2 linked regions of the Caenorhabditis elegans genome follow. The protein of the gene in region 2 interacts with the protein of the main gene of each other region in a pairwise test. Each region holds a gene or a part of one and is shown on either strand. Other genes may lie near its edges.

Region 1 (17,711 bases), on a different chromosome or scaffold from region 2:
CGTAAGTAAGTGATAATTTTTTGGCATGATGTGAAAATACAGGGGGGTATAGGAGGTCTACTCAAACGAACAACACCCACTCGCACAGTCCGCAACGCGCGCGGAAAGATTGGGCGGGGTCAGCCAGCAGCGCTCCCTCTTACCGCTCACATGCACCTTTCCTTGCCCCCTCTCTCTCTCTCTTCTGCATCTCGCACACACTCACATTATCGGACCGTACGCGGCCACCCCGATCGCATTCTTCTTCATCTTCTTCGTCTCACCGGTTGACTGTACGCACGGATGCCTAAAACATACAAGGTCATCAGATATGACCCCTCGCCCCCTTTGCATCCACTCTCAATTCTTCCTTCAATCCCCCCCCCCCACCTATTCTGCCTCCACCACGTCTTCAGTAGGAGTCGGCTTGGTGGAATGACCTGGGTTACTGCAACTTATCTCGACAATATCTCCGGTAGTTCCCCCGTCTTCAGATGCGCCTCCGGATTTACTGATGATATGACCTTCTGGACGTGATGGATTGCTCTGACAAGAACAAAACCGCAGAGGGTTGCAATATACTATGGAGTTACTGATAAATTGCAACGAGATTGATAGTCTAGTAGGGGGCGAATCTGGGTGTGGTACTGGTACTGAATGCAAAGTTATATTTCTCATTTTCCCGGAATTCAAACAGGATTGTAATAGGATTTAAAATTTTTAAATTCTTCTGACCAGTTCTGAACAAGTCAAATAAATACATTCTAATAGTTCAAGAAACACGAAAACCATTCACAAAGTGAAGAATTCACTTGAACAGTGGCTTACCCAACAATTGTCCCCATCATATTTTAAAAACTGGTTCAGTGGACAACTAAACATCTTGGCAAAAACAAAAAGGGCAATAGAAAGAGCATATCCATAAAATTGAAACGTTGTTTTTTTTTAATGAAAAGATGAAAAGGAAATTGTGAGGTCGAGCAGACCATAAAATACATGCCAGGTGTTAGCTATGGGGTTACTCGAATTTTTATTCACTCACGATCTGACAAGTATTAACGGTTTTTGGTTTTGTATATTAGAAAATCTTTGAAATTGCTTTAAAACATGCAAATATTTTAGTTTTAAAAATTCAAAAAAATTTCCAATTTTTTAAATTGATTTTTTTTTGGAAAATTTGAATAAACTCAGTTTTTTCCACTTTTTCGGAAGTCGTCGATCAAACAAAATTCTTCAAAGAATTTTTTGATCTACTTATGTTCCAAAGAACAATATTGATGCTCTGTAGAGGTTACATGCGACAGTTTTTTTTTCAAAAAGTGGTAAAAATTTAGTTATTGCCACTTTTTGATTTCGATAAAAAATTTTCAACAATTTTTTTTTGAAATGTTTTACTATGGTATTTGATAATTTTAAAACAATGTCTTTACTAGCGCTACTCCACATTTAAAGGCAAGGTAAATTACCGTATATTCTCTGTTAGTGCTGCACATTTTGTTTTTTCAAAAACTTGTCAACTATCAGAATAATTTTCATTTATTTTTCTATAGTTTTGCACTAAATTTTTTATTAATATCTTCAAAATAAATCGAGATATAATATTTTAAAGTATAGGAATATGGTGCAAAAAAATTTGAAAAAATTTAAAAAGTTGTAATAATTATATCAGTGAGTTTTCTAACACAACACAAGTATCGTAACATTTTTCTCGAATTTTTTCTCTGTTGCCATCAAAGATGGAATATATACTAAATTCTGTCGGAATCTTTGTAGATTTTATCGTGAACTGTATAGTTCTTATTACTACCCATACATTTCACACTTCTAATTATCTTTAATAAAGACGGGAAAGGTTTTTATTGTAGGGTTTTCTAAAAATGTTAAAATTTATATTATTAAGAATACTTTTCACTGTAAACGGGTGTTTTAATATTTCTGATTTTTTGGAGTAGAACACCGTTGTGTCTGAAAAATAGATCGAAGTATGTTCCAGGTGTTATTTAAGACTACAAGAAAGGCATGGAAAAAAAACTGTATATAGAGTTGAAGTTTTGAAATTTGTTTTAGCGCATATCATTAATTATTTGTGTCTCTTTGTTCCGTACTTTTGTTCACGTTTTTAATTTGAATGGTGGTTAATGGTAATTTAGAAAATTAAAACATTTTGGGGAAACGAAACCTATAAGTACATCATTTTCTTTGATTTCTGGACCTTATTGTTTCAGCCAAATATGTATTTTGTTAATTTGCTTAAATTTTTTGTCGAGGAGTGAAAAAAAACAAATAGAGTTATGTTAGAATTTTTGCGCGTCCCTAAAAAAATACTTCACTACTATTTCTCCAACAATAGATTTTTTATATAAAATGTGACGATAAACCTAGCAACTGCTGGGTTACCAGCATATTTTTAGTCCTGTTATAAATATATAAAAAACTTGACAACATGAAACATCACAATTTTATAGAAAAAGATTATTAAAATGTACTATTTATTTTAAATTTATTATTTATGCTCCTCATTTTTTAAATGAACCAAAAAAAAAATTCAACTAAAGTGTGAGCAGTGACTATAAAAAACAGAGCGATTTAAAAAAGAGAACAACTGAAACAAATTTAAAATCATTTTTGGTATGTATATATAATCTCATGTCGTCTTGTGCAATTAATTATTTTTTGCAGAATTACTTTTTCGGTTTACAAGTTTGTTAAAGTTTAATGCTTGTGTAGTATACCTGGTCCAAAAATATTTTCCAACTTGTTTTCAGTTTATTTCTAAAAAAATATAGCCCAGTTGGATCACCACCAGGCAGTGTACCTGAATCCCAGATTCGCAGTGCATAGCACTTGAAGAACGGATCGCCCTTTAATCCTTTAATTTTGATTTTAGGCTTATAAAAACATTAATCCAAAGCATAATATGGCCGAAAATTGTCACGGAAATGTTGCAAAATTATTAACACTACAAGTACACAAGTACCTAAAATTATTACATAAGTACCAAGTTCTGGTATGATTTCTTCAGGAGATAAAAAATAGACGGTGTTTTTTTTTTGGCCAAATGTCAGTTGGACAACCTTTCGATTTGTTTTTTAATGTACATGTTTTATCAAAAACCTAAGCTTACAAACTTTTAAATTATACTTCCCGAAAGTTTTTACAATTTTTATGGCGGTTCAAAAATTTCGAAAAAAGTACAAATTTTCAAATAAAATCTGACTTTTCGCATTCTTTTTCTTGTCAAATCAGCTGGAATACAGTTATTATCGAATTAACATTTTTATAGGACATTCGAAATGCTTAGCATTTCGTTATTACCGTTTCCGTTAATTAAGATACGCTTAAAGCTGGTTGGTAACCAAAAAAAGTCAAAAATTGATTACCTATTGGCTTTAAATTAATTTTACTCTTTCTGGGTTCGTCTTGAGTTACCATTTTATTTAACTTCATAATTTAATTTGTAAATTGCATTAAAAAGTTCAATAAAATTCAAGTTCAAAATTCATATTCAATTTAGTTTTAAAAAGTTAAGATAAATGCAATAAAAAACAATAATCAATTTTTTTAAATTTGAGTTTTTAACTACAATTATGTACCTCATTTTTTCAAAATTTTGAACCGCCTTAAAAATTATTTAAAAGGTTTTTGGAAACTTCAAGAAAAGTTTCATTTTGAAATTCGTTTATTTTTGTGCATATTGAGTATAGACGTTCAAAATACCCATTAGTTCTCCTTTAAAACTTGTGTTTTGTAAATATTGTGCATAGGTATGTGTAACAAAGGTCGTGAGAACAATCATTTTTATTTCTTATTCACATGCGCAGCTACCGTACGTTTTTTTTTTGTTAATAAATGCAACTCTATTCATTTTGCACCCCCTTTATTTACTTTCATGCTCCAAAAATGTTATGAGATTGACTTTTAAAAGGAAATGCGTTTTTGAATGTTTGGAGCATTGACCTACCGTTTCCTCTCATTTTGTTTGATTATTTCTCACGGTGTCGGTGTCAATGGCAGTTTGATGAAATTCAATACTGTATTAACATTTCAGACATCAAAATGATTTTCAAATGCTCAAGTAAATATTTATAATTTTCTAGACCACATCAAAATACTTTTGTCAAATCGTTGATAAGTTCACTATTAGTTTTTTTGAAAAATGTTTCCGTTGCAAAAATTTTTGAGGTTTTGTAAACGGAAAACTTATTTAAAGGTGGCGGAGCGCCAGTGGGGAGATTGATTGGACATTTTATAAAACGGAAGCACTTAAAACTGTGTTTTTTTGAATTTTTTCCTTTTTTAAAAGATATTTTTAAAAAGAATTAGCTTACTTTTCAAAATTGATGTAGGAACATTTATAGGATCCATACAATTTTGCCGGCTGAAATTGAAATGCTGAAATTAAAAAAAAAATGTGCAAAACCACAATTTGCCAAAAACTTACGGCAAGTGCCGAGGTTGCGCGCAAATTTGGCAAATTGGCAGTTTTTTGGTATGCCCATTTGCCGGTAATTTCAATTCCGCCATTTTAGAGTTTTTCACTATGATATTTGCCTTCCCTGAGGGGCTTTTTTTACTCTTGAATACAAACTTCTGACAAATGTATACCTATTTATGCTATATTTCATATTAGAGACATAACAAAATTTTTGAAAAAAAAGTGTTTCTTTGTGATTTAACAAAGTTATACATTAGAAATGAGTTGTTGAATTTTTTCAATTTATTCCATACCAAAACTACTGCGTTCAGAAAAAACATCTGGTTTCTGCATAAGTTCCGTGAGTTTGTGTGTCATTTTTTTGAAATTTTTGAGGTCAAAATCAGTAGTTTTAGTCAAAATTGTTTTTCAAACTTTTGATGTGTGCGGAAAATTTCGAAATTTGCCGAGCTCGGCAAATTCCCCAAACATACTGTTTTGAAATTTGCCGAGCTTGGCAAATGGTGAACTTGACAAATTCGGCAAATTTGTCGCTTGCTCCTGCTACACAAGTACCAAAAAATAAATATTAGAACAACAAAACGTTGACAAAATTACGGTTGAAGCATTCTAGCACCTTTCGATTGTCACACTAAACAATCGATGCATAGATCCCAATTTTCACTTACACTTGCAAATGTGCTCCAATGAAATTACCATTTGCACTACTGTTGTGTTATCTACGTAACCGTTGTGGTTCTTTGGAGTGGTGTGTCTGCGCGCGCACACCTTCGCCTCTCACACCATTTTCACCCCACTCATCTTTGTTACTGCACACCCCTGATTTGTCGTCTTTCCATTTTTCGTTCACCTCTTGACGGATTGATGCTAATTTTATTGTACCGAGCTGTTTAGAATTCAACTTTTTCAATAGTCCTAAAGCTTTATATCTTGCCAGGTTGCCATATTTTCTTATTTTATGATTTTCTCAGCTATCTAAAATGCGGTACTTGTGAAAGTATACCTGGATTTAAAATATTAATCATTTTGAAAATTTTACGTAATTATGTTCTATACTATGTCCATAAGGATTAATGTTTTTCTAAACCTAAGAATACAAATCAATTTCACGTTTTGTTTAAATTGTAATTTTTAAAAGAAATGAATGGAAAACGTATTGAAACATATTTTTGAGCTAGGTATATTACACAAGTACCTAAAATAGATACATGTTTCGTCACAAAATAAGGAGCCCGTCAGCTAAATCTTACTTTTCGGTTTTCTTCTACCCAAATCCGCTCTTTGAAATCACCAATGAGTGTCGCATGTAATTGACGACCATTGGGAGATGAAAACCGGCTCCAAGGGGTGACAAGAAAGATGCTCCGGTCCGGGGGTCCGTTTTTCGAAAAGCCCCGCATCTGGTGCGGCCTAGCGGATAGTAGTAGACACACACACACACACACACGCACGCTCACTCACCATTCCTCTTCCCATTCCCCGCTCGCCTCTGACCACACCACACATACGCACACACTGGCCGAATGGGTTGCGCTGGGGCAAGCAGTGGAAGGAGAAAGAGGAGGACGCTGCATAATGTGTTAGAGGTTATTTTCTTTTCGGGGTCCCCTCTTTTCCGTCCACTCGTTTGTCATTGATCGTGGATGGATCGTTTACTTGCGGTTGTGTGTGTGTGTGTGGAACGAAAATGTTATGACGGCGTGTGCGCAACCCGAAGGGCTCGTTTTATCTCTTTTCACAAATTGTCTTTGCCAATCTATCGTTCCGTTCGGATTTTTTTTGTTACATGAAATATAATATGTTATAAATCTCATTCTTTTCAATGGATCAAAATTTTTGGAGAGATTTTTTTTTTCAGGTGGAACATGTCGTATCAAGATAACAGGAAACTTCCGAAAGACACGAGGAGTTGCGTTGGAGGTTTTCGGTATGAAGGACACAAGAAGCAACTACGACCAAGATATGCACAATCTGAAATTGGCGAGCCATTTATACCGAGGTTTTCTGCAATTGCTAGTGAGGTAAGCCTTTTTTTTGAAGATACATTTTAAAATGAAACTCAATTAAATGAGGAGTAACGGCTCTGGGTACCAATATGTGCTCAAAATGAACACATTTTTTTTGTAATGAAACTTCTCAACAGTGTTCAAAATGTTTTTAGTCGGTTTAAAATTTAAAGAAAGGGTTAATTTTTTCACATTTTGAGCAGGCAATTTTTATGCCAGTAGGTAACCAATTCAGGTAATTTTTGATTATCTATTCGCTTAAAAAGTTCCTTAAAAAGTAGGCCTGAAATTAGTTAAAATTTGAAATTTGTCCTACTCGTCAATGTCGTTGCGGCTGGAATCTTTTTTTTTGAAATTTCCGTAAAATTTTGAGTATACAATGTAATTATCCTGCGTTTTCAACTTTATTTAATTATTTTAAAGGCGATGAACGAAGAGATTTGGTAAAGTTTTTAAAAAACATAAATAAATGAAATACCGTGAGATAAACAACCAAAATATTCAATAAAAAAAAACAAAAAAACTGCTGTGTCACGGAAACGTGGCCAAAATTTGAGAATTTTTTAAAAAAATTCGTCTTTTTTTTCGAAATATTGAACCTCCCATAAATATTTTTTAGAAGTTTTATTACGAAATTCGTTTTTAATTCAGTTTCTGAAACTCCTTAAATTCTTTGTTCAGATGTGTCAAAATAAGATATAAGCCGACCAAATATCTTATCTAAAATTTAAAATGTCATAAACGCCGAGTCGATATACATATCTTATCGCTTTGCGTTTTCACTTTTGGAAAATCTATTTTTGAGTACATCTATAATTCATTTGCAGGGCCAGAAGATTGCACCACCTAACGAAGACTGGGCAGACAACACCACCGTGCTCACTGGAATGACGACGGATTCTTTCACAATGGAAGAAAAAGTGATTTATACCCCACCAATTGGACGTGTCATAGGAAGACGGTAAATGTTCTTTTTTTCTAATTTCACTTTTTATAACTATTGAAATTCAGGTGCTCTAGGTTTGTCTGGCTGTTGGCCTCGTCGTTACTTTGCATTATATCGGTGGTCAGTGCGCCGATAATGTGTTCATTGCCTATAATCGCACCACGTTTCGGCTTCAGCATGCCGGCAATTCAATGTGACGTGAGTATTTCGAAAACCAATTATATCGCATTAAAAATATAATGTATTGCAGGTCGATTGTGAAGGACTCCTGTTTTTAATGGCAATCAAAACAATCTTTTTGGTAATTGCAATTGGAGTTCTTTATTGGAGGAAAGCCATGGCAGACATGCCCAGGTTGTACTTTGTACGAGCTGCGCTTACATTTTTAGTCATGTTTATCCTGTTCGCGTTTTGGCTCTTTTACATTGTCAGGATAATGTTTGAAAGATACGACAACTACAAGTACATCGTAGGTTTTTTTTTTCAAACACAGTGGTGGCCAAAAGTATATGCGTTTTTGGGATTTTTTTGCTGGCTTTTTTTATAGTTTCAAATTAGTATAGCGCACAAGCTAGGTACCCTAAAAATTAAAATTCAACTACATAACTGTTACCTAGAATGTTGTCTACTTGATAACTCAGGTTTCAATAAATTAAGTCATTGAAATCAAAAGATATAGCATCGGGCACCTCGTAAGTCCTTTTTTTGCCACGTCCCTTTAAAGGTGTAGCAATGCCGGCACTCATCGTGAACAATTTCTGAAAATGGAGGTTAAATTGTTCTAAAACTTTCAGTTCAAATGTGAATAAAAGTGTAAACATTAGTTATTTAAAATAAATGCCTAAAAATATTTTTGAAAAAAATGACCAGATTTTCAACCGAAATTTTCAATTCTACCGATTGCGTAAGAAAAAACGATTGATAACATGCAATATAAAATTATTTGCGGATTATTTGTTACTAAAACTTTGCTCATGAAAACTGTTCATTCTTGAGTTACAGTCATGAGATGTGGCAAAAAAATTGGCTCGCGAGGTGTCGGCCGCTGTAACTTAGTCTTTTAAAATGTTGAAACTTGTGTTATCATGTGGACAAAATTTTAGGCAACAGTTTATTTGTTGAACCATTTTTTTTAAGTTCATAATTTGTAGCGAAAATTCAGAAGCGGGTATACTGTTCGACTTCACTATGAATCATTTCGAAAAAAAATTGTGAAATCATAATTCATAATTTCAGGTTTCCTATTCCACATCACTGCTCGACGCTCTTCTATGGACACATTATCTCTCTGTTGTGCTCCTCGAGCTTCGTCGTCTACGTGCCCAATTCATTGTAACTATTGTTCGCGATCCAGACGGTGAAATGCATACATTGAACATTGGCGCTGGCTCAATTCAAGAAGCTGCCACCGAGATTCTTCGTTTCTACACAACTCGATTCTCCTCGTTCAACATTCACCTTGACAACGCCAGACAGACGGCGGTTGCAAAGCAGTCTGGAATGCAAGGAGGCACCGCAGGCTTCAAGATGTACAATATCGAGCAATTTGGAGGGCAGGAAACTGTTAGTGAAGTCAACACGCGGGCTTTGATGGAAGCCGCGGCGAGAAGAAGGATTGGTGGATATGCTGAAGTGATGCAGGAAGAACTTGATTTTGAAAAACGGTTAAAGAAGAGAAAGTAAGTGTTTTCAAATTCAGAACTAACGATTTGGATACTTTGAACAAATTTTGTAATGAAACTTCTCAAAAAAGTTTAAAACTTTTTTTAAACGGCTGTTTCAACTTCCTAAATATTATATTACTTTTTTCAAAGCTATAATTTCAAATTTTGTCCACTTTTCCCTGTCACAACTGTTGGAATTATATTTTAGAGTTGAGGTAGCGAAATGATTTTTTGGACACAAAATGGCCTAAAATTAAGGAAATTTTTATTGAGAAGTTCTGAAAATTGTTCAAAAAAAATTATGGCGGTTCAAAGCTTTTAAAAATGGCCTCTTTTCGAAACTCATAAAATCTTTACAGGTATCGCCTAATTGCCGCCGCCGAAGACGCATTCTCCCATGTTCAGAACACTGCCGAGTCCGGAACGAACCAAAAGCCTGGAATTAACAACCAGATGGACTCACTGACCGCTGCTCAAAACGTATTCACATGGATTGTCCGGCCGCTCACCAAATATTTAAAAACTACTCGTCTTCAGTCAAGACATCCTTCAGGAGAAGTTACGAGGCACATTGAAAGGTACGTTTTTTTTAATAAACAGAATTCAAAGATTAAGCTTTCAAATTTCAGATGCCTAACACTCAAGTTGTCTCATCGAACATTTCTCCAACGCTTCTTCAGTGACCGTATTCCCCAACGGGAAATTGTCGGGGAATCGAAATGGTCGGTAATTTGCGACGAGGCGGTGAGCTCTGGAGTTCAACACGGAACGTATCTAGTGCTCAAATCGCACAACCCAGTAAGATTTTGAAAAGTTAATGTTGAAGCTAAATACACATTTAAAACGACCGAATATCATAATTAAACACTCCAAAATTTTTTAAAGATTTTTTGAATTTTACAACGTATTGGCAAAGTGCCAAATTTTTGAAAAGTCTAAGCATTAAAAAAATGTAGAGCAATTTCGCATGTTCGGACACTTACAAAGTTCGAACACAAATGTTTAAAACAAAATTGAAGTAAACAAAATAGTAGAAACAACTTTTTAAATCTACTTCCAACATTATGAGTGGCAAAACTGAGTAATTGTCACTTTTTGAAAAAATAATTCAATTTTGTTCGAAACGTTTTTCTGTTATATTTGGCATTTTTGGCACCATAGCAGTAGTATGTCCCATATTTCCTCCAGTAGTTTTGCATTCAAAAAAAAATGCTTGATCGGTCGGTAGGGTTGCAAGAGCATTACAAAAACACTTTAACAAAAAATATTACGAATAAAATCCGAAAATTGGTATTTCTGCATTATTTAAAGCCGATTGGCAACAAATTTTTATCATTTTATTCTGCTAAACCCATGTACCTTTGAATGATTTTATATTGCAAATTTCGGTAAGTTATCTTACGCTATTTTGTTGACTTAGGTACATCTCAAGCAAAATTTGAAACCGCCATCAAAATTTTTAAAATTTTTGAAAAGATTCACTCAAACTTCGCTCGAAAAAAAAACAGTTACTTCTCAGACTTGCTAAACCGTTTAATATTACCTTTTTTCAGGATATCGACTGCGGAGTTCAACTTGTTTGCACCATCTCGAGTATTCCGTTCTTCAATTTGACCGAGCAAGCCAAACCTGGAAATGAAAAGTTTTCCTTAAAAATTAGCAATGAGTCGGCAGTTTGATTTGTGGGCTAGTCATCATGCCATCAAGTAAACTTCCAAAAAAATGCCCATTTGATTTGATCAGTTTTTTAAAAAATTTTTTTTACCTGTTAGCTTCTTTTCTTCAACTTTTATTCTACATCATGCTGTTTCTATGTACGGGTTCCTCATCTGACCGAGATGATAATGACTGACATTTGACATCTCTATCGCGCTGCGTCACTTACTTCTTCGAGTATTTATTTTTCTTTAAGTTTCTTCACATTGACTTATGGTCTGGTACCTTTTCAATATGATATGAATAATTTATTCAAGTTTAAGTTTTTCTTAATAAAAAAGTGATTATTTATTATGTATATTTGATTTTAAAAAAAGAAAAAAAATACATCATGGAAAGAAAAATCATTTTTATGAGATCAGAGGTGGTATATTTGTTTGAGTGTGACTGACTTAGCATGTTGATTAGATGTACATCAGGAAATACCCGTAACACATCACTAGAGAGAACATGTCAAATCGAGAGTACGCTATGAAAAATGAAGGAAACGGATATATGAAAAAAAATGCGAACAAGATAGTTTTAAGTTGGATTACACAAAAAGTCTCGGGAACATCAAGCTTCTCTTCTTCCTTCCAAATCTACTGCTGGTGATTCTCTGACTATTGAAAAACGTGGAAATTCTGTCGTTGATCGTGGGATCCATATCATATACAATACCGTTCTCATCCATGAACTGGTTGGGCGAGAAGTTGTCATTGATTTGTTTTTGCTGAAAACAGTATTGGTGAAAACCGATTCAAATCTAAAAAATTGAAAAGTATTGACTTACCCAATCATCTTCTCCGCGCAAATGAAGAATCGGACGGAAATCAGTGTTTTGCATTCCTATCCGACGTCGCGTCAATTTCTCAGATCTGTAGGCATCGAGAAGACTCATTGACGAGACGATTGTGACAATTAGATTGAAGAAAATAATCTGACGGAGTATCTGCGCGAACATTTTGATAGCTTTCGACTTTTGAAGGTTGTGTTGAAGATGACACTTCAAAAAACTGGACGATCGAGACCCAAATACGGAAGTGTAAAGGGAAAGAGATAATAGTTTACAACTGACAGATGCGCTCGTTTAAATAGAAGATATGATAATAGAGAAGATAGAGAAAAAGGCAAATGGGAAGACAGAATTGGTGAGGGACAAACGACGATTTTCTTCTACTTCACACACACACACACACACTATCAGAAAGGGTGGTATCATACTGTCACACGAGGCGGATAGACGAGAGGACAGAGAAAAGAAGATGTTTAAACTTTGGGCTTTGTCATTTCTCCACTTCTCTCCACAAAACCCAAACCGATTACGATACGATAATATAGACCATTTGATCCAATTATGATGCAAACTGTTCACGAGTTTTAAATGATTTTTCGAAGATCTCTAGCAATATTCGCAGAACGTCATGCATGTTAAGAGTAAACAAAACAAGTATGAACAAATATTTTCCGTGAATAAAAATTTTTCAAGAATAACATGAACGTACAAAGAATGTATTTCTTTTTCTACGATTTTTACCATTCCTGAAAAAAAAATTGCTTAAAACTGTTAAATATAGAGATAAAGTTGGCTATTGAAAAAGGCCACTACAAAATATTTTGCATTTTTTTTTTGAACCGGAAGAGATTTGTTAACTTTGAAAACTTCGGTCGTGTAGTGAGGCGCGGAATGAAGTCCTCACGCCGACTCCGCGCACCGCTGTGTGTATACAATGAAGTGCGAAGGGTAGTTATTTAGAAGCGGCCGACATTTTCCAGGTTCCGCGCCGCACTTTAAATTTGGATACATGCCTCGTGAGTGACGCCGTGAGGCCGGTGCTGCGACCTCATGGGAGCCGTGTTTTTTTCAAGAAGCTTCAAGTAGGATTGCATACCTCTAAACTCCAAAAAAAAAACAATAGTCTGAAAATGATATTTAAAGCAATTTTATGATCCTGAAAATTCAGGGCGGTTTTTTTCTGATTGAAAGTGCAAAGCTGCCGTTGCGTACTGGCCTAATTTAAGGGTTCTCTCTTAAATGGAAAATTTTGTCATTCAGAACTCTAATTGTGAACCTTTTTAAGGCAGATAACTAGAGATAGCTAGACTGACAGAATCTTCAAATATCCTTTTTAGGAAATGTCGTTTATTGCATGAGAAAATCTGAAAGTGTAGGAAGCATAGAAACCAGTTGTATGATTGGCGGGAGTCTTACTGTACAATGAAAAACTTTTGAAGTCTACTTAGTTTTTTTGGTGGATTTTTTCAGCAAAACTAGGGTCAAAATTGCAAATGAAACGACAGCGACAATGGTTACACCGACGAGCCACATTGTACAGTAGAAATCACACTCCGGAGGTCCCCATGTTTGCTTATTAATTGATCCGTAAGAGTCGCCAAAGAATCGGAATTGTTTTGCATCCGACGCCACTTGTTGTAATACCATCCATGTGCAATCTTCGGTCACGCCTGATGATGTATCACATTTCCAGCATTCGGGTGTCAACGCACACTTTTCCACCCTGCAATGTACACATTTGAACGACGTCACAAGCGCTCGTGTTTTCGTCGTCGAAAGACTGTCGTTCAAGAAATCATTAGATCGTTGGACAACTTTTGAAGACGAAAAAGACACGAAATGATTATAGGGACAAATAAATGTTCAATGGAACTGGAATTGTACTTTCTTCCTTTACAGTTAGAAATTCAGTATCTCTGCAAGACACTTAGCTGATCGAGTTGATAAGGATTCAGGGGGAGTCCTGATAGTTCTTTGAAGTAACCTCACCATCTGATCAGATTTCTAGCATCATTCTTCAGTAGCACGGCCATCGGGAAGTGAGGCATCAATGAACTGGTGGGGAAGTACGGACGATAGCCTGTAAACGATTGTGTCTATTCAGTGATTGCCCAAAGAACGATCAGTTCCAACCAGAAGACGTGACTTTTCGACGACTATCATGTGAAATATATGTGACAGCATTCTTGGAGGACTTTCTAAACGGACCCGCTTGCATCAGTTTTGTATTGAGAATTTCCACGTCATGGGTTAGCCATAAAACTGTTGAATGATGCTTGAGGATTTCCTGAAACGAATAGCACAAATATCAAAACATTCGAACACATGGAAACGACGTTTATGATCTCCAGTATACTTGTGACGTATGTTCTTTCTGAGTGTACATCACTGTGCTAGTGACGTTTCGAATGCCAGAGAAGCAGTCTTGAACCCTGTTGATCTCACTTGGATGATTAGTTCAAAATGTTTGTCATCACTAGGATGATTCAGATGTGATAAGATTTATATTAATTTATGTTTTCCGCATTTCAAATGTAGACTGAAAACACCTATGATTTTTTTTGTTTCAAATGAAAGGTATTTGGTAATTGATCAAAATGTTATTAGGTCAAGTTGAATTGAAGTTTGATTTTCCATAGTTTTCATAAAGATGGATGGGATTTTTAATATTTCAAACTTGATATTCAAAAAAAAGTAAAACGGCATTTCAAAAACAGCGTATCAAAAATTGATTTAGTGTCTAAAATACTTTTGTATATGATATCATTGTGAGACTAAAAATACATTATTTTTCAACTTTCAAAGATGAACAGAAAGAATATTTGTTCATTCAAAATTCAAAATATTAGTGTTGGTTAACAACATCTCAAAATAGATTTATATGTACAATTTACATAGCGAAAAGTAGGTACTAGTGCAATAACAGAACAGGGATGTGCGGCAATCAAAAATTACCGGGAGTTTTCTATCAAAACTAAAAACAAAAATTCCGAGCCTAACTCTATTTTTTCAAATTTGAAAATATATAGTGTACATGGGCTTTTGCCTCTAAAAATTTTTATCAAGCACAGCCTCCTCACGTGGAAATGACCCAACAAGGGGGCTTGCGCGTTTCTCGTGAGCGTTGGAAAATTTTACCACTGAAAAATGATTTCCTTCGGTTTTTGTGGGTTTAAAATCGATTTCATATTTTGAAATTAGGTATCAATTGTAAAGCTAATTGGGGGAAAGGAGGAGAAAAAAAGATTTTTGATTTTGGTTCAAAAATAAAAGCGCTGATATAAAAAGTAAAAACAACTAAAAATTGAGTTTTTCTTATATTTTTTATATTTATCATCATTTTTCTAGTAGAAATTGATGTTTATTTGAAAAGTAATCTTCCACCCAAGCTTATGTTATGAAAAATATAAAGAAAAACAGTAAATTGAAAGTTTTGGTAATTTCTCAATTTTCCACGCGATGCACGAGAAGTGCGCCAACGGACCGATTTCCACTGGAGGAGACTGTGTCAAGGAGCATTTATGTATAGCAAATACGGTAATTTTTTTGAATGTCTTCTATAATAGAAACAAAAATCTTGTTACAAATTTTATGATTAAATGTCCCAGAATGCGTTCCTTCGATGTAGGCCTATTTTTTTTAATCGTTTCCAGTTGTTGTCATTTTCATTATAAAATGCATATTCCATGTAAATAAATTTTTGTGCCTTTTTTGAAGTTTTGAACTTTTACTCTAGATTCCCGTGATTCTTTTAAAAAATTCCAGGAACAAGTTCTGTCCCGTTTCGTATTTCCAAAAAAAAAGTTGAAAGGACAGGGCAAATTATTTAGGCTTAAAATACTTGTTACTTTGCTGTATTTCAATACACGTTTTACAGTTTCATTGCGTCTTTAAGGTGGAGTAGCGAAATTTGAAACGTCACTTTTTTAAATCCAAAATCACCGAAACTACCTCATTTTTAATAAAACGCTATGGGAATATTTCGAAAAAAAAATTATGGCGACTCAAAGTTTTGGAAAAAATCGTCAATTTTCAGCTAAATCCACAAATTTTTGCCAACGTGACAAAATCACAACCCACCCATCGACCGAAAATGTTTTTCAATCAACAATTAAACGCGTAAAAAATTAATTTCCACTTTTTTGAACAATTTTAGGAACGTCTCATAACGAAGTTGTGTAGTATGCCTGGCCTAAAATATATTCCAATACGTTTTCTATTAATTTCTTTTGAAAATGATAATTTCCTCAAAACGTAAAATTGATTTGCATTTTTAGGCTTAAAATCTTTAAAAAAAGTGATTAATGTTCTTGAGTCAGGTATACTACACAACTACCCGAAAATTGGTAGTTTTGGGCCGTTTTGAGCCCGAGAAAACACAGTCTCAAATTTTACTGAACCCCATTTAACATCCATTCACATTGGAACCTTTTTAAATGAGATTTTTGAAATGTTTAATTTTCTCACCCATTTTTACCTGTAAATAGAACGGGGTACTTGCAGTATTACCAATTCCACGATTTTTGAAATTCACAACTTCCACATTTCTTATGCTGATCAGTTGAGTTTCCAACGCTGTCTGAAATACAAAGTTCGGGTTTTTGATCTTCCATTTATCTACTTTGTTCCTTGCAAAACAGGTTTTCACTGTTTTCACAACATTTTTATTTTTGTAAACATAGCCAAGCATGGCGGTTTCAAACTCAATCAGTTGTTAGTATCATATGAGAGTTTTCTCTTTCTCTACATTCAATACGTCTTCAGTCGATATCAACAAAATTTAGTGGGTTTATGGTATTGTCTCTGACAAAGAATGACCTCGACGTGATACTGTGAAATATCAGATATATGGAACGAACCCCGTTGGCATGATCAAAGATAATCAACTTTGTTGTTGGGAAGTTCCTATGGATTGAAGCAATGAGCACAAGTAGCCGGTTCACATCTTGAATGGACGCAGATAGTGCAAAGACAAGATCACGGGACCTGTAAATCTTTATTATTACTGAAGTTTGGATGAATTTTGATGTATTACATCGTATTTTTAACAGATCAAGATACTTATTTGAAAGATCACTGATACCAAAACAGTGATCTCTGTCATTTATGAACAAAAGTCTCGGCGTGCTTCCTTGATGAGGACGTGCAATATCATTTTCATTCAACTGTTTAACGTTCAGAGGTTGACGTTTAGGCTATAGATACGAGGACTTGTCGAAAATAATAATTGGCATGTGACCGGAAAAGATGATAGATCAGAAGTTTATATTTTTGCAAAAATTCTGACATATCGTTGGGTACAATTTTTATAATAAAGTGATAGCTTTATTGGGATAAGCGGTGGGCGGCAATTGTCGCTTGGCAATCCGGCAATGGTTGTCAAAAATGTCAAATTGCCGAAAACCTTGAAATTCGGCAATTGCCAAATAAACCAAATTGCAGAAATTTTGAAATTTGGCAATTGCCAAAAATGTCGAATTGCCGAAAAATTTGAAATTCACCAATTGCCAAAAAACCGAATTGTCCAAAAATTGAAAATTTAGCAATTGCCAAAAAACGGACTTGCCAAAAAATTGAAAATTTAGCAATTGTCGACTTGCCAAAAAATTGTAAATTTGGCAGTTGCCGAAAACTTTGAAATTTGGCAATTACCGAATGGTTGATTTACCGAAAAAAAAAATCCAATTATCAAAATTTTCTGATTATATTGTATTGAAAGAGGAAAAAGTTAAGTTTGTTTACAAAAAACATTTATTACATTAAAAATTAGTTTTTTGCTAATTTTTTGCGTTTATTGGCCCAAAATCTTTTGAACTCGACAATTGCCGAAAATACCGAAAATTTTGAAAATTTTATGTTTAGTCAATGATTGTCGGTTTTCAGAAGTTCTGGCTATCGACAATTGCGGCAATTGACAAAGTTGTGTAAACTGCCGCGCACACCTAGATCAATCCATCGAAAATTAATTTTTCAATGAAAAGCATCCAATTGAGTACTTAAATTGTACTTACAATGTTAAATTCAAACTTATTTTTTTTTGTAGTTTTTTCAAGGATAATTTTCTAGTGAGATGGGTGAGGTCAGTTGGCGTCCAATGTCCGATGTGAAAAGAAAGAGCAGATGGCAGATACATGCAACACTGCCTGCCTCATCAATTTTTCAACAAGACATTGAAAATTGAATAGTACTG
Region 2 (16,300 bases):
GTTTTTAATCAGAAAATGAAAGAAACAAACAAGAGAAATGCAAAATGTTTAACTGAAAATGCCTAAAACTCTGAATAATACTAATTTCAAGCTCGTCGTCGTCGGATCGCATAATTTCAAAGTTTTACGCACTTTTAACGACTTTTTAATAAAAATTTTGGACTTTCCTGTTTTTTCTTTCATTCTTCAATTAAAAACCTTAAGAATGAAGAAAATCAGTGAAATAATGAAAATAATTTTAAAAAGTTAATGAAAATAATGCAAGCGCGCTCCAACGAACGAGTTCAATTGGCGGTAATTCAAATAGGAATTAGGGGGGAAAACTGAGATTTTTTCAATTTTCAAAAAATCATATAAAATCGCGGAAAATGTTTTTAAAATTTTTTTTATCATGATATTCGGTCATTGTGGTACCATAAGCATGTTTTAAAGCAATTTTCCCACAGGGTGTAGTCCACCTTTAATTTTGACATTTTTGGATTTTTCTTTGTTTTATAATTCGAAACACAGTTTGTCAATTTCCAGACATTTTTCCGTGTAGAATACTTGATAGTTGGACAGAAAAACCTATTAATATAGCTGGAAAACACACAAAAATGTCGAAAATGACGTCACTCATGTGCGCGGGGGAATTCTAATTTAATTCGGCCCTTTTTTGCTAAATTAAAGAAAAATCTTTAAAAAATTTAGAAAATTCTACCATTTGGAGAGCAAAAAAAAAAATTCAAAAAACCCAAAAAAATCCATCATTTTCTTTCAGGTCGACACAGTAAGCGAGATAAAAATCAATCAATTGCAAGAATCGACAAATCTCTCGATTGTTCTTCATAATGATATGCGCCTCAACCTGAACACTGTCCGAATGCTCCAAATGCTCCCAGCTCTAGGCCTAGACGATGCCTACAAGGAACGGGTTACTGTAGGCGATTCGGATGAAATGATGGATAATGAGCTCTTCTCGATTATTGCTCACAACAAGACTAGCGGAGTTTCGTCGTTTATTCGCCGCTGCGAGATTTGTGAAATTGATCTACCGACGAAACGCGCCAGTGATGCGCATTTCTATTCGGAAGATCATGAAACTGCGCAGGTAATTGGTGAAATTTGAAAATTTGAAAGTTTTTTCAAATATATTTTTTCAATTTTCAAAAAATATTAGGAAATTGTTTTTTTTTCTCAGGCATGTTGAAAAAAAAAATTTTTTTTTAATTGGAAATAAATTAATAATATTAAAAAAAAAAATTTTTAATATTTTTTCGAGTGATCTTATAACTCTTTATAGTTTAGTTTAGTTTGTTTTGTAATTAAAAAAAAAAAAAACTAATTTTTTTTTCAAAAATATTATCACTTCAAAAACTATTTTTAAATATTTATTAATTTAAAAAAATTATAACCTTTGATCTAAGTTGATCTACAAAACGTGCGGGAGAAGAGACGCAGAGTTCTCAACTGATTTCGCATGGTTAAGAACGTGTGCTGACGTCACATTTTTTAAGGCAAAAAATTCCCGCATTTTTTGTAGATCAAACCGTAATGGGACAGCAGCCTGGCACCATGTGTAGTTTTTCTTGTAATTAAAAAAAAATTTAACTAGTAATTTTTTTAATGTTTTTCAAAAATGTGTTGAAAAATTGAAGAAAAAAATGAAAATTCCAAAAAGTTGTAAAAATTTTATTTTTCAAAAAAAATTAACGTAAATCATATTTATAAATATATATTGAAGATTCACTATGAAAAAAAAAATCAAGTTTTTTAAAAAATTTGTTCAAATTCAATTTTTAAACAATATTCCCGAAAAATGCGGAATATTTGAAAAATAATTTATAAAAATATATTTTTTTTTAATTTTTAAAAAACTAACTTGAATGTAGAAATTTTTTTTTTTCAAATTTCAGACTTTTTTGATCGCCGCAAAAATTTATATTTTGGCCTAAATCAGATTTCAAAAAAAAAGTTAGAAAGTTCCTTTTTATCAAAAATCGGTTTTTAATCATTGTTAAAGTTCTTTAAAAAATTCAATTTCGTCCTAAATCGAGCTAAAAAATCGATAAAAATGTTTTTTAAAAATCCTTTAAAAAATATCAAATTTGAATTTTCCAACAACAAAAAAAAATCCTAAAAAAATCATATTTTTCCCCAAATTTCAAATTTTTCTTCAGCTAATGTATCCATCGAAAAACACGACGCAACCAATGATGTCAGTTGACCGTAATCTCGGAATGCCCAACATGCACGCAATCAACGCCGAAACTTCCGAATTCAACTGTAAACTGTGTGGAACACGATTCCTCGACATGGACCCCCTTCTCACACACATCCGGCAGGAACACGATGAGCAGCCCGTTATTCCGCCGAGACCTGTTGCGCATACTGCTCCGATTAATTGAATTTTCAAATTTTAGAACCTATTTTTTTAGCATACTTTAGCATATATTTGATCTCCTCACATTTTTACGCGGTTTTATTATATTGATGATGTGTACCTTTTTTTGCTCATTTTTATCATTGCCCAAAATAAAGATGATATAAAATTTTTTAAAAAATATGTTTTTCTCAAAAAGTTTGAATTTCCGCCAATTTTTTTTTAGAAAATTTGAATTCCCGCCAAATTTTTTTTTACTCAGAAAATTTGGCAGGAATTCAAATTTTCCAAGAAAAAATTTGGCGGGAATGCAGATTTCCTGAGAAAATTTTGGTGGGAATTCAAATTTCCTGTGAACAAATTTGACGCGAATTCAACTTTCTGAGAAAAAGTTTGGCGGGAATTCAAATTTCGCTAGGAAAAAATGGCGGGGATTCAAAATTTCTGAGAAAAAATTGGCGGGAATTCACATTTCCTGAGAAAAAAATTGGCGGGAATTCAAATTTTCTGACTTTTTTTTGCACTTAAATATTTTAAAACTTGTCCAATAATTTCACAAGTTTTATAAATCACAATTTGACTTTCCACAAAATGTGTTCAATTTGATTTTTATACAGCGAATCACTTGTGATTTGCGGACAACTGTGACGTCACACCTCCTTTAATGGCCTAACTACACCTCTTCCACGAAACCCCTGGCAATTCGAAAAAGTAGCAAATTCGACGCATGTTTACACGGCGAATTTGACGTTTTGCCTCGGGGGACAGGTGTTAGTTTCTCGCACCTTTTGTTCTTTCTTCAGGAGCCTCCAGTCGTTTTTTTCAGTTGATCTGTTGACATTTGGTATTAGTTGAGGGGTGCCGAGAAGCCTCTTGGCAGATGGATGTGTTCGATTATTTCATTGACATACTACATACACATAGACATACGTACAAGAAAGCGAGGTGTCTTCTTTACAAGCGGTCAAATCCTTGGGCAAATACAAACCGCTTGACTACCGTAATCCGGTGTGGTGGTGTGGATGGGCAGTGGATCATGGTGTATCGAGTGGTTAATATGTTTCAAAAGATGCTAATAGCTAGATGAATTTGGAAAAAAATTAATTTAAGAATTGTTTTTTCGCCAATAATAACAATGGCTTGCAAAAAAATATTTCTTAGAACTTTCGAAAACTATAAATAAAAAATAGGATTTTTTTAAAACTTTTTGCTGAAATGAATGGGAGCATCTTGAAAATTCTAAAATTCTGTGACGTCACGCGTAGGTTAGAAAACTTAGCGGCCGTGCCGCAAATCTTAGCGGCAAACCGGAAAATTGCCGATTTGAAATTTCCGGCAAATTCGGCAAATCGGAAAACCACCAAATTTACCGGAATTGAAAATTTCCAGAAAATCGGCAAACCGGAAAATTGCCGAAAATAAAAATTTCAGGCAAATCGCCAATTTGCCGGAATTGAAATCTTCCGGCAAATCGGCAAACCGGCAGTTTGCCGGAATTGAAATTTCCGGCAAATTCGGCAAATCGGAAAACTGCCGGAATTGAAAATTTCCGGCAAATCGGCAAATCTGCAATTTGCCGAAATTGAAAGTTTCCGGCAAATCGGCAAATTGTTAGAATTCAAAATTTCCGGAAAATCTGCAATTTGCCGAAAATGAAAATTTCCGGCAAACCGGCAATTTGCCAAAATGAAAATTTTCGGTAAATCGGAAAATCGGCAAATTGCCGGAATTGAAAGTTTCCGGCAAATCGGCAAACCGGAAAATTGCCGAAAATAAAAATTTCAGGCAAATCGCCAATTTGTCGGAATTGAAATCTTCCGGCAAATCGGCAAACCGGCAGTTTGCCGGAATTGAAATTTCCGGCAAATTCGGCAAATCGGAAAACTGCCGGAATTGAAAATTTCCGGCAAATCGGCAAATCTGCAATTTGCCGAAATTGAAAGTTTCCGGCAAATCGGCAAATTGTTAGAATTCAAAATTTCCGGAAAATCTGCAATTTGCCGAAAATGAAAATTTCCGGCAAACCGGCAATTTGCCAAAATGAAAATTTTCGGTAAATCGGAAAATCGGCAAATTGCCGGAATTGAAAGTTTCCGGCAAATCGGCAAACCGGAAAATTGCCGAAAATAAAAATTTCAGGCAAATCGCCAATTTGTCGGAATTGAAATCTTCCGGCAAATCGGCAAACCGGCAGTTTGCCGGAATTGAAATTTCCGGCAAATTCGGCAAATCGGAAAACTGCCGGAATTGAAAATTTCCGGCAAATCGGCAAATCTGCAATTTGCCGAAATTGAAAGTTTCCGGCAAATCGGCAAATTGTTAGAATTCAAAATTTCCGGAAAATCTGCAATTTGCCGAAAATGAAAATTTCCGGCAAACCGGCAATTTGCCAAAATGAAAATTTTCGGTAAATCGGAAAATCGGCAAATTGCCGGAATTGAAAGTTTCCGGCAAATCGGCAAATTGCCAGAATTCAAAATTTCCGGCAAATCGGAAAATAAGCAATAACCTTTTGCTGGAGTGAAGGGGAGCATCTTGGAAATTCTAAAATTCTGTGACGCCACGCGTGGCCTAGAAAATTTAGCGGCCGTGATCAAAAATCGTTCACAAGAAAACACTTTTTCCGTTAAACATAAGGTTTTGAATATTGATGACATTCGGTCGAACTCAAGCGACCGCGCCCGACACCTCGCGAGTTTAACTTTTTGTGTTTCGCTGCGCCCGACATTTCGCGTGTCGGAACAAGCGCCGTTAGGCAGCCTCTCATGTTCAAACTTTTAGTAATTTCCTGCGCCCGACACTTCGCGGGTTCAAACTAATTGTGCTTTGCAACGCCCGACACCATGCGGGATTAAGCTTTTCTATAAAAATCACCCCTCTTTAGATACTGTAGGCGTCTAGAAAATCCCTATAGATCCATATATCTTACACACATGTTCACACCTTCTTGACATGTTAACACCCCCTCTCCTTCAAAAATATTTGCTCTTTCACTTGCTCCAAGAGCCCCCAACATCTCTCACTCAAGAAGTCATCTCTGTAATCCGATCTCCGTCGACTAAGTGGTCTGTTTAGGCATATACCAGGTGAGAAGATGAAGATGAAGCTGGAGGTGGTGAGGTGCTCAAGAGGACACGCACCACTTCTCACATAACTACCGTACCACCTCCAAGATGAGGCAAACTAATAATTTATGTGTCGTGTAAGTGTATGTGCATGTACAAATTGAGAGCAAATAATGATACAAATATATGACACATATTGAGTTTCTAGAAGCTCTCTAGGGCTCTGCCCTGAATTACATTTTTAACATTTTATCAGAAGAGCGCGATTGCACTCTTGCACGTGGTGTCAGAATGTCCCATTTTGGTTTGATCTCCGAGAAATGCGGGAGAAGAGACGCAGACTTTTCTACTGATTTTGCATGGTTAAGAGTGTACTGTCGTCACAAATTCCTGGGGGAAAAATTTCCGCCATTTTTGTAGATCAAACCGCAATGAGACTGACTGACACCACGTTATTTTGTTTCAGTGAAGTTTGCAGACTTCTTCTGATTCACGTAGTGCCAGGCTGTCTCCTTACGGTTTGATCTACAAAAAAATGCGGGAATTTTTTGCCCGAAAAATGTGACGTCAGCTTGAGAACTTTGCGTCTCTTCTCCCGCATTTTTTGTAGATCATAGATCAACGTAGATCAATCTAAAATGAGACACTGCTGATCAAATTGATCCAATTTTCAATGTTGTTTGAGACCGCTGTTCGAATTAAACGCAAATCTGGGTTCCAGAGCTAACGAATTATGATTTATCGGTAGAACGCAATTGCATTCGTAGATCAATGAACGAGTTTTTACAATTTCGCGGCCCCACAGAAAAGTCACGCGAGAAAAAAATTAACACAAGACTATAACTTTCTCACGTGGTGCCAGGCTGTCTTAATACAGTTTGATCTACAAAAAATGCGGGAATTTTTTGCCCTAAAAATGTGACGTCAGCACACTCTTAACCATGCGAAATCAGTTGAAAAGTCTGCGTCTCTTTTCCCGAATTTTTCGAAGATCAAAGATCAAACCAAAATGGGACACTTTGAGCTTCCGTGCTTTCTGAGCCCGTGTCTTTTTCCACACCCCGCTCATATATTTTTTCTAACAGCGAAAATTGGAATCTGCTTTCCTCTCTGTCATTCATAATTCAGAAATAATTCTAATTTCTTTGGAAAACATTGGATTAGCCTCTTAAAATGACTTCGCAACGTTTCCCACGAGAATTTGCAAAAGATTTGGGACCTTCGGCAGCGGGTGGGATTAGTGCGGCGGATTTTGACCGGATTTGCAGATTGGTGCATCGATGCAAAAGTAAACTGAAGAGAGTGGAACCCCCGAACAAGGGACTGGTGCCTTAAATCAGCGCCATGAGCCGCACCAATGGTCGGCGGCAGGTGCGAGAGGCGTAGGGGAGCCTGGAGACAGCTAGGTGTCACACCGCGGTGTGCAAACGCGCTCTGTTGAGAACATCATCAAATTTCCACATGATTACCTTCAGGGTAGGTATCTTAATACCGTACTTCCTCTTTAAAACAGTAATACCTTCCACACACACGCATAAATCGTTGCTGATAAAAATGCTAATTCGATTAATTTAGCAATGTGATTTTCCTTACAAACCCCCCTCTCCCCCCAAACGGCTACAGTAATCCGCCAGAGACCGGTCGGGCGGTGCGAATTTTACGGGGGATTATCTACAGTAACCAACCACCACAACAAAATGATAACGTGATTAGAATCGGATTAATTCGCCACATACATTTATTGACTTGACAAAATGAGAGGGGATGGGGGGGACTAGAATATAAAGAGGGGGTGGCCTGGATTTCCAGCTAGGTGGGGAATAGAGATTCAAATTATATGCTAACAAGGCTCCAACACCAAATTCTCGCTGTGCGATGTCTTCAGTGAGGCTTTTGATTCGGGCGAGCTCGTCTCTTTTCCGCTGGAATTTTCGCGTTTTATCCGTTTCACTTTTCGGGTGTCCTCGTCGCTCTCGTCACATTCGGAATCGTCTCCGCTGTGCTGAAAATGTAGAGAAATTTAGGTAAAAAAAAATCACTATTGGGTATTGAACCAAAAACTGTTGACACAAAAAACCGCGCCTACCACTGAGCCAATTTTACCGTTCTTGGCGGTGATGGAGGGAGACCGTGAGAGTACAGTAGAGCGCATTTGAAAATTAATTTTCAAAAAGTGTACTAGCTTACCTTAGAAGTCCGACTGTCGTCCTTCTTCTGCTTGCGCTCTTTTGCCCGACGATTTTTGAACCAGACCTGGAAGAGAAAATTTATTTAAAGAATATTATTTTAAAAATCGATTATTCAATTGATAAGGCACGTGGTGCTAGGCTGCCCCATTACAATTTGATCTACAAAAAATGTGGGAATTTTTTACCCAAAATTATGTGACGTCAGCACGTTCTTAACCATACAAAATCAGTCAAAAACTCTGCCACATTTCTTGTAGATCTACGTAGATCAAGCCAGCGCCGGCGGCCGAACTATGACGACGTCACTCCTCTTCCAGCGCCCCCCTCATCCTCTACAGGTTGAGATTTGCCGGGTTAAGTGAGTGAGGCAGGTGGAAGAAGATAAACGGAAGAAGAAGAGCTGTTGGTGGTGATGAAATAATTGAAAAGGGCCGACACGATTTAGGCAGGTGAGAGGTTGTAATTAGAGATTACCCCACAGACGGTTTTCCTCAGAAACACAGCTATATGGTATTATAGGGTTTAATGGACTCATTAACCCGGAATGTTCGGGTATTGTTTTTTTTTTTGCGAAAAAATAACTTTGAAATCTGTAAAAACCCGGGTAGTTGAAATCCGGGAAAACCCACTTTCGTGGATTTCAACTACCCGAGTTTTTTGTCTATTTCGCATAAGATTTTTAAAAGACCTTCAAAATGTGGTTAAAAACCACCAAAAAGCTTTAAAAATTCCGGAAAAAAACTCGGGTAGTTGAAATCCACGAAATTCAATTTCTATGGGGTTTCGGTCCCGTGGATTTCAACTATCCAAGTTTTTAAGTCTAATTCGCATAAGATTTTTAAAAAATCTTTAAAATGTTGTTCAAAACCACCAAAAAACTGTCAAAAATTTAGAAAAAAACTCGAGTAGTTGAAATCCGCGGAAACAAATTTTCCGGGAAAATGTGATTCCGCGGATTTCAACTACCCGAGTTTTTTTGTCTAATTTGCATCAAAATGTCGTTCAAAACCACCAAAAAGCTTAAAAAATTCTGGAAAAAAACTCGGGTGGTTGAAATCCGCGGAATTTAGATTTTGCGGGTCTTTTCAAAACTGTTTCAAATAATCTTAAAATTACTGAAAAGCCGCCCCAAGAGAACTACACGGCCAAGGATTGCTCCGCGCTTTTGTTAGGCCATTGAATTTTCTAGTCCCCAGGAATTTAATTTAGGCCAGCCAGTCTTACAAAATCGGTGGCCTAGGTGTGACGTCACTCCTCTTCCATTTACTCACCTCAACTCTTTCTTCCTTCAATGAGCACTGAACCGCGAGCTCTTCTCTCGTCGTAGCGTCCGGGTAGTGTGTCGTTGAAAATGTGGTCTCCAAAATGTTCAACTGCTCCTCGCTGAAAATGGTACGATGCCGGCGTTTTCGTCGGGAGGCGTAGTGTTGATGGTGATATGGAGCCATGAATGGAGGCATTAGTGGTCCGCAGAGCATTGCTGAAAAATTTTAGTTTTTGAACAGTAGAGCGCATTTTCAGCATCGCTTCCTTCTAGTTTATCACGTGGTGTCAGAGTGTCTCATTTCGGCTTGATCTTCGTTGATCTACAAAAAATGCGTGAGAAGAGACGCAGAGTTCTCAACTGATTTAGCATGACGTCACGATTTTTGGGCAAAAAATTCCCGCATTTTTTGTAGATCAAACCGTGATGGGACAGCCTGGCACCACGTGGTTTAGTTCTAATGGAGATTGTTATTGAAGCATGTGCGCTCTTTTGATAAACTACCGGTGTATCGACGTGGGCGATATTGATTTTTTTAAAAGTTCTTATCCAAATTCGAATTTGCGATTTTTTGAAATTACCGACAAAACGAAAAATGCGCTCCACGTGGGCCACACAAAAACTTACAGAAAAACGGATAATTAGCCGGATGAAACTGCCATGGCAGGGCAGAAGCCGCCGCTGCGGCTCCCACTGCTCCAAATGGATCTTGAAAATTGTGAAGCTGCGGAATTCCGGCCAACGGGTTCGAGAGCAATGTGTCAATTGAGAATGAGGTTGATGTGGACGGAGAGGAGGATGACGAGGAGATACTGGAAAATTGGGATGTTCCGAGAGGATTACACATGGAAAAATTTTGTTTTCACCCCCGTGGCCTAGAATGTCTTCAGAGGAAAACTCTTCCATGAAAAGCCCTTCACATATTTTTTAAAAATATTCCTAGGACACCATGAAATTTTCTAGGAGGATTTTGATTTTCAAAATGGAAGAGTTTGCAGAACCAGGTCATTTTGGCTCGGCCATATCTGGGGTAGATTTACGGCGCGTTGCGTGTCGCGTCGCGGCTTGAGTTTAGTTGTAAAACTAAGTGCATCTGTCCGTGTGGAGTACACGACTTTCCCACGCGTTGTCAGGCGGGCGATTGTCAATGGAGCACGAAAAATTCAATGAGAAACGCCAGAACACCGTGAATTTTCAAAAAAAAAAACAATTTAGAAATCTAAAATTTCAGGTAGAAATGGCCCCGGTGTACTTCTCTCGGACAAGTAGTGCAAAATTTTGTTTAGAATTTTGTATAAAAAATCTTGAATTTTCATTATTATTTATGGCAGTAAGAAAATTCTTTTTTTTTAATAAGTTGTCCGAGTGGAGTACGAACCTATTTAAAAAATATTTTAAGTGAAAAAAAAATGTTTAAAAAATGGAAAAACTTTTGAAACAAGTTTTGAAACAAAAAATTTTTGAAACAAAAAACTTTTTTTTAAAACTTTTTTATTTGATTTTTGCTTATACTAAATTGTACTTTACTAACACTACAGAACCCCCTTTAAAAGCCCCCCAAGGCTTCACACGAACCAAAAAAAAAAGGAACCAACCTTGCAGAATTCGGCGTCACCAATTTGTTCATAGTTTCAGGTGTCATTAAAAACGGGAAGGATGCCATGTGTCACACCGTAGTGGGGGATGCGATTCTTCAGTGTTGTTCCCCTCGTAGATCATCAGTGCCCGCCCACTTTTGTGCTTTTGGCGGTGATTGGGCCGGCACGCCCACTTTCTTCGTCGCGCGCCGACGTTTGGCGCAGTGGGGAAGAGAGGAGAGAGGTGTGAATAAATAGAGATTGAGAAACATTGAGGATCCCCTGCTTGTATCGGTGGCCTAGAATTTCGAATTTCAGTTTTCCGTTAAACATCGTGCCGGAAAATCGAAAAGTGTATAGAAATGACGTCATAAATGTATTTAAATACATTTCGAAAATCCTAGAACGTCTGTGGTCTAAAGCCTAAAACAAGGATTTCCTCGACTACAAGGACCAGGATTTGGCTTAGATTTTCCAATTTCTAGGCCATTGGGGTTTTCTAGACTACCAAGATTTTGTGAAACATATCTGAAAACAGCTTAAAATTGAAAAATTAAAGAGAACCCTCAAAATGAAGATATTCACTTGTCCGAGAGGAGTTCACACATTTTATTTTCATATTTAATAAGGCCTAGAATTTCGAATATCAAATTTTAAAATTCTAGGCCCCTCAGGTTTTTGTATTTTTGTACATTAAGATTTTGGTGTACAATGGGAGTACACATTGGAGAATAAATTTTGCAATTATATAGGCACGCGGTAGGCGGAGGTCGTTTTGAAGGCAGGTGAATTTTTTTATTTTCCAAGTTCAAATGTTGTTGGTTTTTAGAGTAGGCATGCGTGTAGGCAAAATGAATGCCTTGATAGGTACAAGGCAGGCCTTGAAGGTAGACCATGGTAGGTGGGGATAGGCTTTGATAGTCTTAGGGCACATTGATTGGTACAAGAAAAGTAATTGCACGTGGTGCCAGCCTGTTCCATTGCGGTTTGATCTACAAAAAATGCGGGAATTTTTTCCCGAAAAAACGTGACTTCAGCACATTCTTAACCATACGAAATCAGTTGAGAAGTCTCGTAGATCTACGTAGATCAAACTCTGGCGCCACGTGTAATAATAGGCACAAGCCATGCCTTGATAGGCTCAAGGTAGGCATTGAAGGTATTCCATGAAGGCAGGCATGCCTACTCGCTCTTACCCAGATATACATGTCATGGCAACTAGTCAACCTGTATACATACACACCCGTCTCTCCATTCTGTCAATTAGTTATCATGATTTACTGCCTGACGGCGGCGCGGCACAGTGTCAAGAATATGTAATATGTCTCTGTTTCTCCAATTCTCATGTCCCTTCTTCGGGCGAGGGTTTCAATTTGGGAAAGGTGGTGTGCATTCAAGTGTGAATATCTGTCGGTGATCCTTCCTTATTTTCTTACTTTTCATATCTGATCGTCCTTATTCGGATCATTCCCCTTATTATACACAGGTGTCCCTTCAGAATGGGGCGGCTGAAATTGAATAAGGGGGTCTGGAAAAACTTAGGATTAGGCTTAGTATTAGGCTTAGGCTTAGGCTTAGGCTTAGGCTTAGGTTTAGGCTTAGGCTTAGGCCTAGACTTAGGCTTTTGCTTAGGTTTAGGCTTAGGTTTAGGCTTTTGCTTAGGTTTAGGCTGAGGCTTAGGCTTAGGCTTGTGCTAGGCATAGGCTTAGGCTTAGGCTTAGGAGTAGTGTTAGAGTGTTAAATTTACCCTTTTTAGGATTTTTTACCGCAGAACTTAAGAGAATTCATCAAAAAAAAAAAGTTTGAAAAATTTTTTGTCCGAGTTTTTATTTTAAAGATTGACTATAACTGTTCTTGTGGTCTAAAATTCTCTAAAAACTCTTCCACGAGTCAAAATGTATAGATAATGACTTATACTCACCTAAAACTCTTTCAATACAGTATACTTTCCCACCAGACGAGTTAAGGTGTTAATGCTACCTCCCGCTGAGAGCCTCCCCCTGACACCTTTGCCCAAGAGCACCGCCCGTGCTTCCTGTGTCAAACATTACCCCATAAGTAACAAGAAAAAAGTGTTGAGATGGGGGAGAGGTGTGTAAATATTATAATGTTACTGTAGACTATATGGATAAGAAGATGTACTAGTCTAGGGGTCTATTGGATTAACTCCTTCTATACCATGGAAACATTCCGTTAATCCTGTGTTTACCGTTTTCATGGAGAGATAAAATATAAATTATAAAAGTTGTATCAAAGTATGAAAATCGTCAAGGAATTTTGGGAAAGGGCCGATTTTTTTTTGAAAAAAACTGGTTGAATAAAGTTTTTTTTTTCAATTCTTCGAAAATATGTTTAGCTTCGCTTTCCAAATTTTAGAGGCTTAAAATTTTAAATTTCAAAATTCCAGGCCACTGAGGTTTTTGGATTTTTGTACATTAAGGTTTTTTTTTGAACAGAAGGCGTACACAGAGGAAAATAAATTTTAAAATTATATAGGCACGCGGTAGGCGTAGGTCGCTTTGACGGCAGATTTACTTTTCTTTTTCCAAGTTCAAATGTTGTTGGTTTTTAGAGTAGGCATGCGTGTAGGCAAAATGAATGCCTTGATAGGTACAAGGCAGGCCTTGAAGGTAGACCATGGTATGGGCTTTGATAGTCTTAGGTTCACATTGGTTAGTATTTTTGTCTATTGTTTTTGAAATTAAAAAAAAACAATTTTTAACTTTCTTAGTGTAACCACAATTTCAATCGTTTTCAGGTTCAATTTTTTTGTGAAAAAAATTGTTTCAAAAAATGTTAGAGGTAAAAGTTCGCACCTAATTTTTTTTCCAAATTATGCTAAAATTATTTTTTTAAAATCCTCTAAAATTTGGATTAAAATAGAATAAAAAACGAAAATATTGAAAATTTTCGGTTGTTTTTTCGACAATTTTTCCAATTAAAGGTAGGGTACCGAAATCTGGAAAATATTTTTAATTGACTCCAAATTTTTTACTAATTCCGAATATCAATGTGAAAAAATTCAAAAAAATTTCCCTGATTTTATATTTAAGCTTGAAATCACGATTTTCATTTGTGCCGAAAAAATATAAAAGCAGGGAATTTTTTTTGAATTTTTCACATCGATATTCGAAATCAGGGAAAAATTTGGAGTCAATTAAAAATATTTCTCAGATTTTGGTACCCCTCATTAAAAAAAAAACAATTTGCTCTCTTGCATAATCATCTCTTAAAACCCCCCACTACAACAATTGTTACATGCTTACTACAAGTACTCATCCCACTTGATTTGTACCATCTTGAACCTAAAACAAGTGATGAGCAACAATATTAACAATGTGTTGTATAAACATGAATACTCGTTGGTTACGCAATTCACACCCTTTTGACTCAAGCGGTTTCGTGCACGATGAGCACGTAATAGGACAGGTGAGATGGGGTGGCTGGCCGCTAAGGGGGGGGACGTCTTGCAGTGAAAATATTATGTGGCGATGTGTAAAGATTATATTTTAGAAATATTATATTTTATGTAGTTTTTGTAGTCTGTGACGTCACAAAAAATGTTTGAAAATTATTTTGCGGAAATTAATATTATCTTAGAATAATTTTGGCGGGAACTCAAATTTCCAGAGAAAAAATTGGCGAGAATTCAAATTTCCTGAGAAAAAAAAATTGGCGGGAATTCAAATTTTCTGAGAAAAAATTGGCGGGAATTCAAATTTTCTGAGAACAAATTTGGCGGGAATTCAAATTTCCTGAGAAAAAAATTGGCGGGAATTCAAATTTTCTGAGAACAAATTTGGCGGGAATTCAAATTTCCTGAGAAAAAAATTGGCGGGAATTCAAATTTTCTGAGAAAAATAGGCGGGAATTCAAATTTCCTATGGTGGTACAGCCACTGGATGAATGCAAACGCGCTCCACAGAACAAACGGGTAAAGATGTCTCGACTTAACATTTCTTGGCAAACACTCTTTGACTACCTTTTGCTCTTTGACTACCTTTGCTCATTGACTACCTTTCGGCTCATTGACTACCTTTGCTCTTTGACTACCTTAGATCTTTGACTACCTTTCGGCTCATTGACTACCTTCAGTTGCTCATTGACTACCTTTATCTAATTTTTCAGAATTTTCAGTTTTTTTCGCTGAAAAATCAGAATTTTCAATAACATGTTACTTTTTGATGTCTAAGAAGCTGGTGCACTTTTTCATTTCCTGAAATTCCGGAGAAAATGGAGATGCGATCTGATGTATAAATGCTCATTGACTACCTTTTGCTCTTTGACTACCTTTGCTCTTTGACTACCTTAGATCTTTGACTACCTTTTGCTCTTTGACTACCTTTGCTCATTGACTACCTTTCGGCTCTTTGACTACCTTTTGCTCTTTGACTACCTTTTGCTCTTTGACTACCTTTGCTCTTTGACTACCTTAGATCTTTGACTACCTTTTGCTCTTTGACTACCTTTGCTCATTGACTACCTTTCGGCTCATTGACTACCTTCAGTTGCTCATTGACTACCTTTCGGCTCTTTGACTACCTTTTGCTCTTTGACTACCTTAGATCTTTGACTACCTTTTGCTCTTTGACTACCTTTGCTCATTGACTACCTTTCGGCTCTTTGACTACCTTTTGCTCTTTGACTACCTTAGATCTTTGACTACCTTTTGCTCTTTGACTACCTTTGCTCATTGACTACCTTTCGGCTCTTTGACTACCTTTTGCTCTTTGACTACCTTAGATCTTTGACTACCTTTTGCTCTTTGACTACCTTTTGCTCTTTGACTACCTTTGCTCTTTGACTACCTTAGATCTTTGACTACCTTTTGCTCTTTGACTACCTTTTGCTCTTTGACTACCTTTGCTCTTTGACTACCTTAGATCTTTGACTACCTTTTGCTCTTTGACTACCTTTCGGCTCATTGACTACCTTTCGGCTCATTGACTACCTTTCGGCTCATTGACTACCTTCAGTTGCTCATTGACTACCTTTATCTAATTTTTCAGAATTTTCAGTTTTTTTCGCTGAAAAATCAGAATTTTCAATAACATGTTACTTTTTGATGTCTAAGAAGCTGGTGCACTTTTTCATTTCCTGAAATTCCGGAGAAAATGGAGATGCGATCTGATGTATAAATGCTCATTGACTACCTTTCGGCTCTTTGACTACCTTAGATCTTTGACTACCTTTTGCTCTTTGACTACCTTAGATCTTTGACTACCTTTTGCTCTTTGACTACCTTTTGCTCTTTGACTACCTTTGCTCTTTGACTACCTTAGATCTTTGACTACCTTTTGCTCTTTGACTACCTTTTGCTCTTTGACTACCTTTGCTCTTTGACTACCTTAGATCTTTGACTACCTTTTGCTCTTTGACTACCTTTTGCTCTTTGACTACCTTCGCTCTTTGACTACCTTAGATCTTTGACTACCTTTTGCTCTTTGACTACCTTTGCTCTTTGACTACCTTAGATCTTTGACTACCTTTTGCTCTTTGACTACCTTTTGCTCTTTGACTACCTTCGCTCTTTGACTACCTTAGATCTTTGACTACCTTTTGCTCTTTGACTACCTTAGATCTTTGACTACCTTTGCTCTTTGACTACCTTAGATCTTTGACTACCTTTTGCTCTTTGACTACCTTTTGCTCTTTGACTACCTTTGCTCTTTGACTACCTTAGATCTTTGACTACCTTTTGCTCTTTGACTACCTTTTGCTCTTTGACTACCTTTGCTCATTGACTACCTTTCGGCTCATTGACTACCTTTCGGCTCATTGACTACCTTTCGGCTCATTGACTACCTTTCGGCTCATTGACTACCTTTCGGCTCATTGACTAC

The links.
Region 1: the proteins of ceh-45 (region 2) and vang-1 interact in a two-hybrid assay, tested with the Caenorhabditis elegans proteins (one large-scale study listed by BioGRID).

The regions. Positions count from the first base shown.
Region 1 is NC_003284.9:2,879,593-2,897,303, forward strand, and holds vang-1 (Vang-like protein), read left to right. Parts: upstream 1-6,265; 5' UTR 6,266-6,279; coding exon 6,280-6,435; intron 6,436-7,247; coding exon 7,248-7,381; intron 7,382-7,431; coding exon 7,432-7,564; intron 7,565-7,616; coding exon 7,617-7,835; intron 7,836-8,602; coding exon 8,603-9,045; intron 9,046-9,389; coding exon 9,390-9,608; intron 9,609-9,659; coding exon 9,660-9,828; intron 9,829-10,583; coding exon 10,584-10,709; 3' UTR 10,710-11,089; downstream 11,090-17,711. Other genes in the region: B0410.3 (Neuropeptide-Like Protein), read right to left, coding at 11,279-11,458, 11,519-11,689; F52B10.3 (uncharacterized protein), read right to left, coding at 12,962-13,244, 13,511-13,601, 13,655-13,808, 15,999-16,100, 16,381-16,507; B0410.1 (Nodule Cysteine-Rich (NCR) secreted peptide), read left to right, coding at 14,981-15,217.
Region 2 is NC_003279.8:1,122,602-1,138,901, reverse strand, and holds ceh-45 (Homeobox domain-containing protein), read right to left. Parts: upstream 10,579-16,300; 5' UTR 10,544-10,578; coding exon 10,476-10,543; intron 9,693-10,475; coding exon 9,508-9,692; intron 9,097-9,507; coding exon 8,888-9,096; intron 7,681-8,887; coding exon 7,615-7,680; intron 7,430-7,614; coding exon 7,268-7,429; 3' UTR 7,137-7,267; downstream 1-7,136. Other genes in the region: znf-236 (C2H2-type domain-containing protein), read left to right, coding at 761-1,090, 2,160-2,387.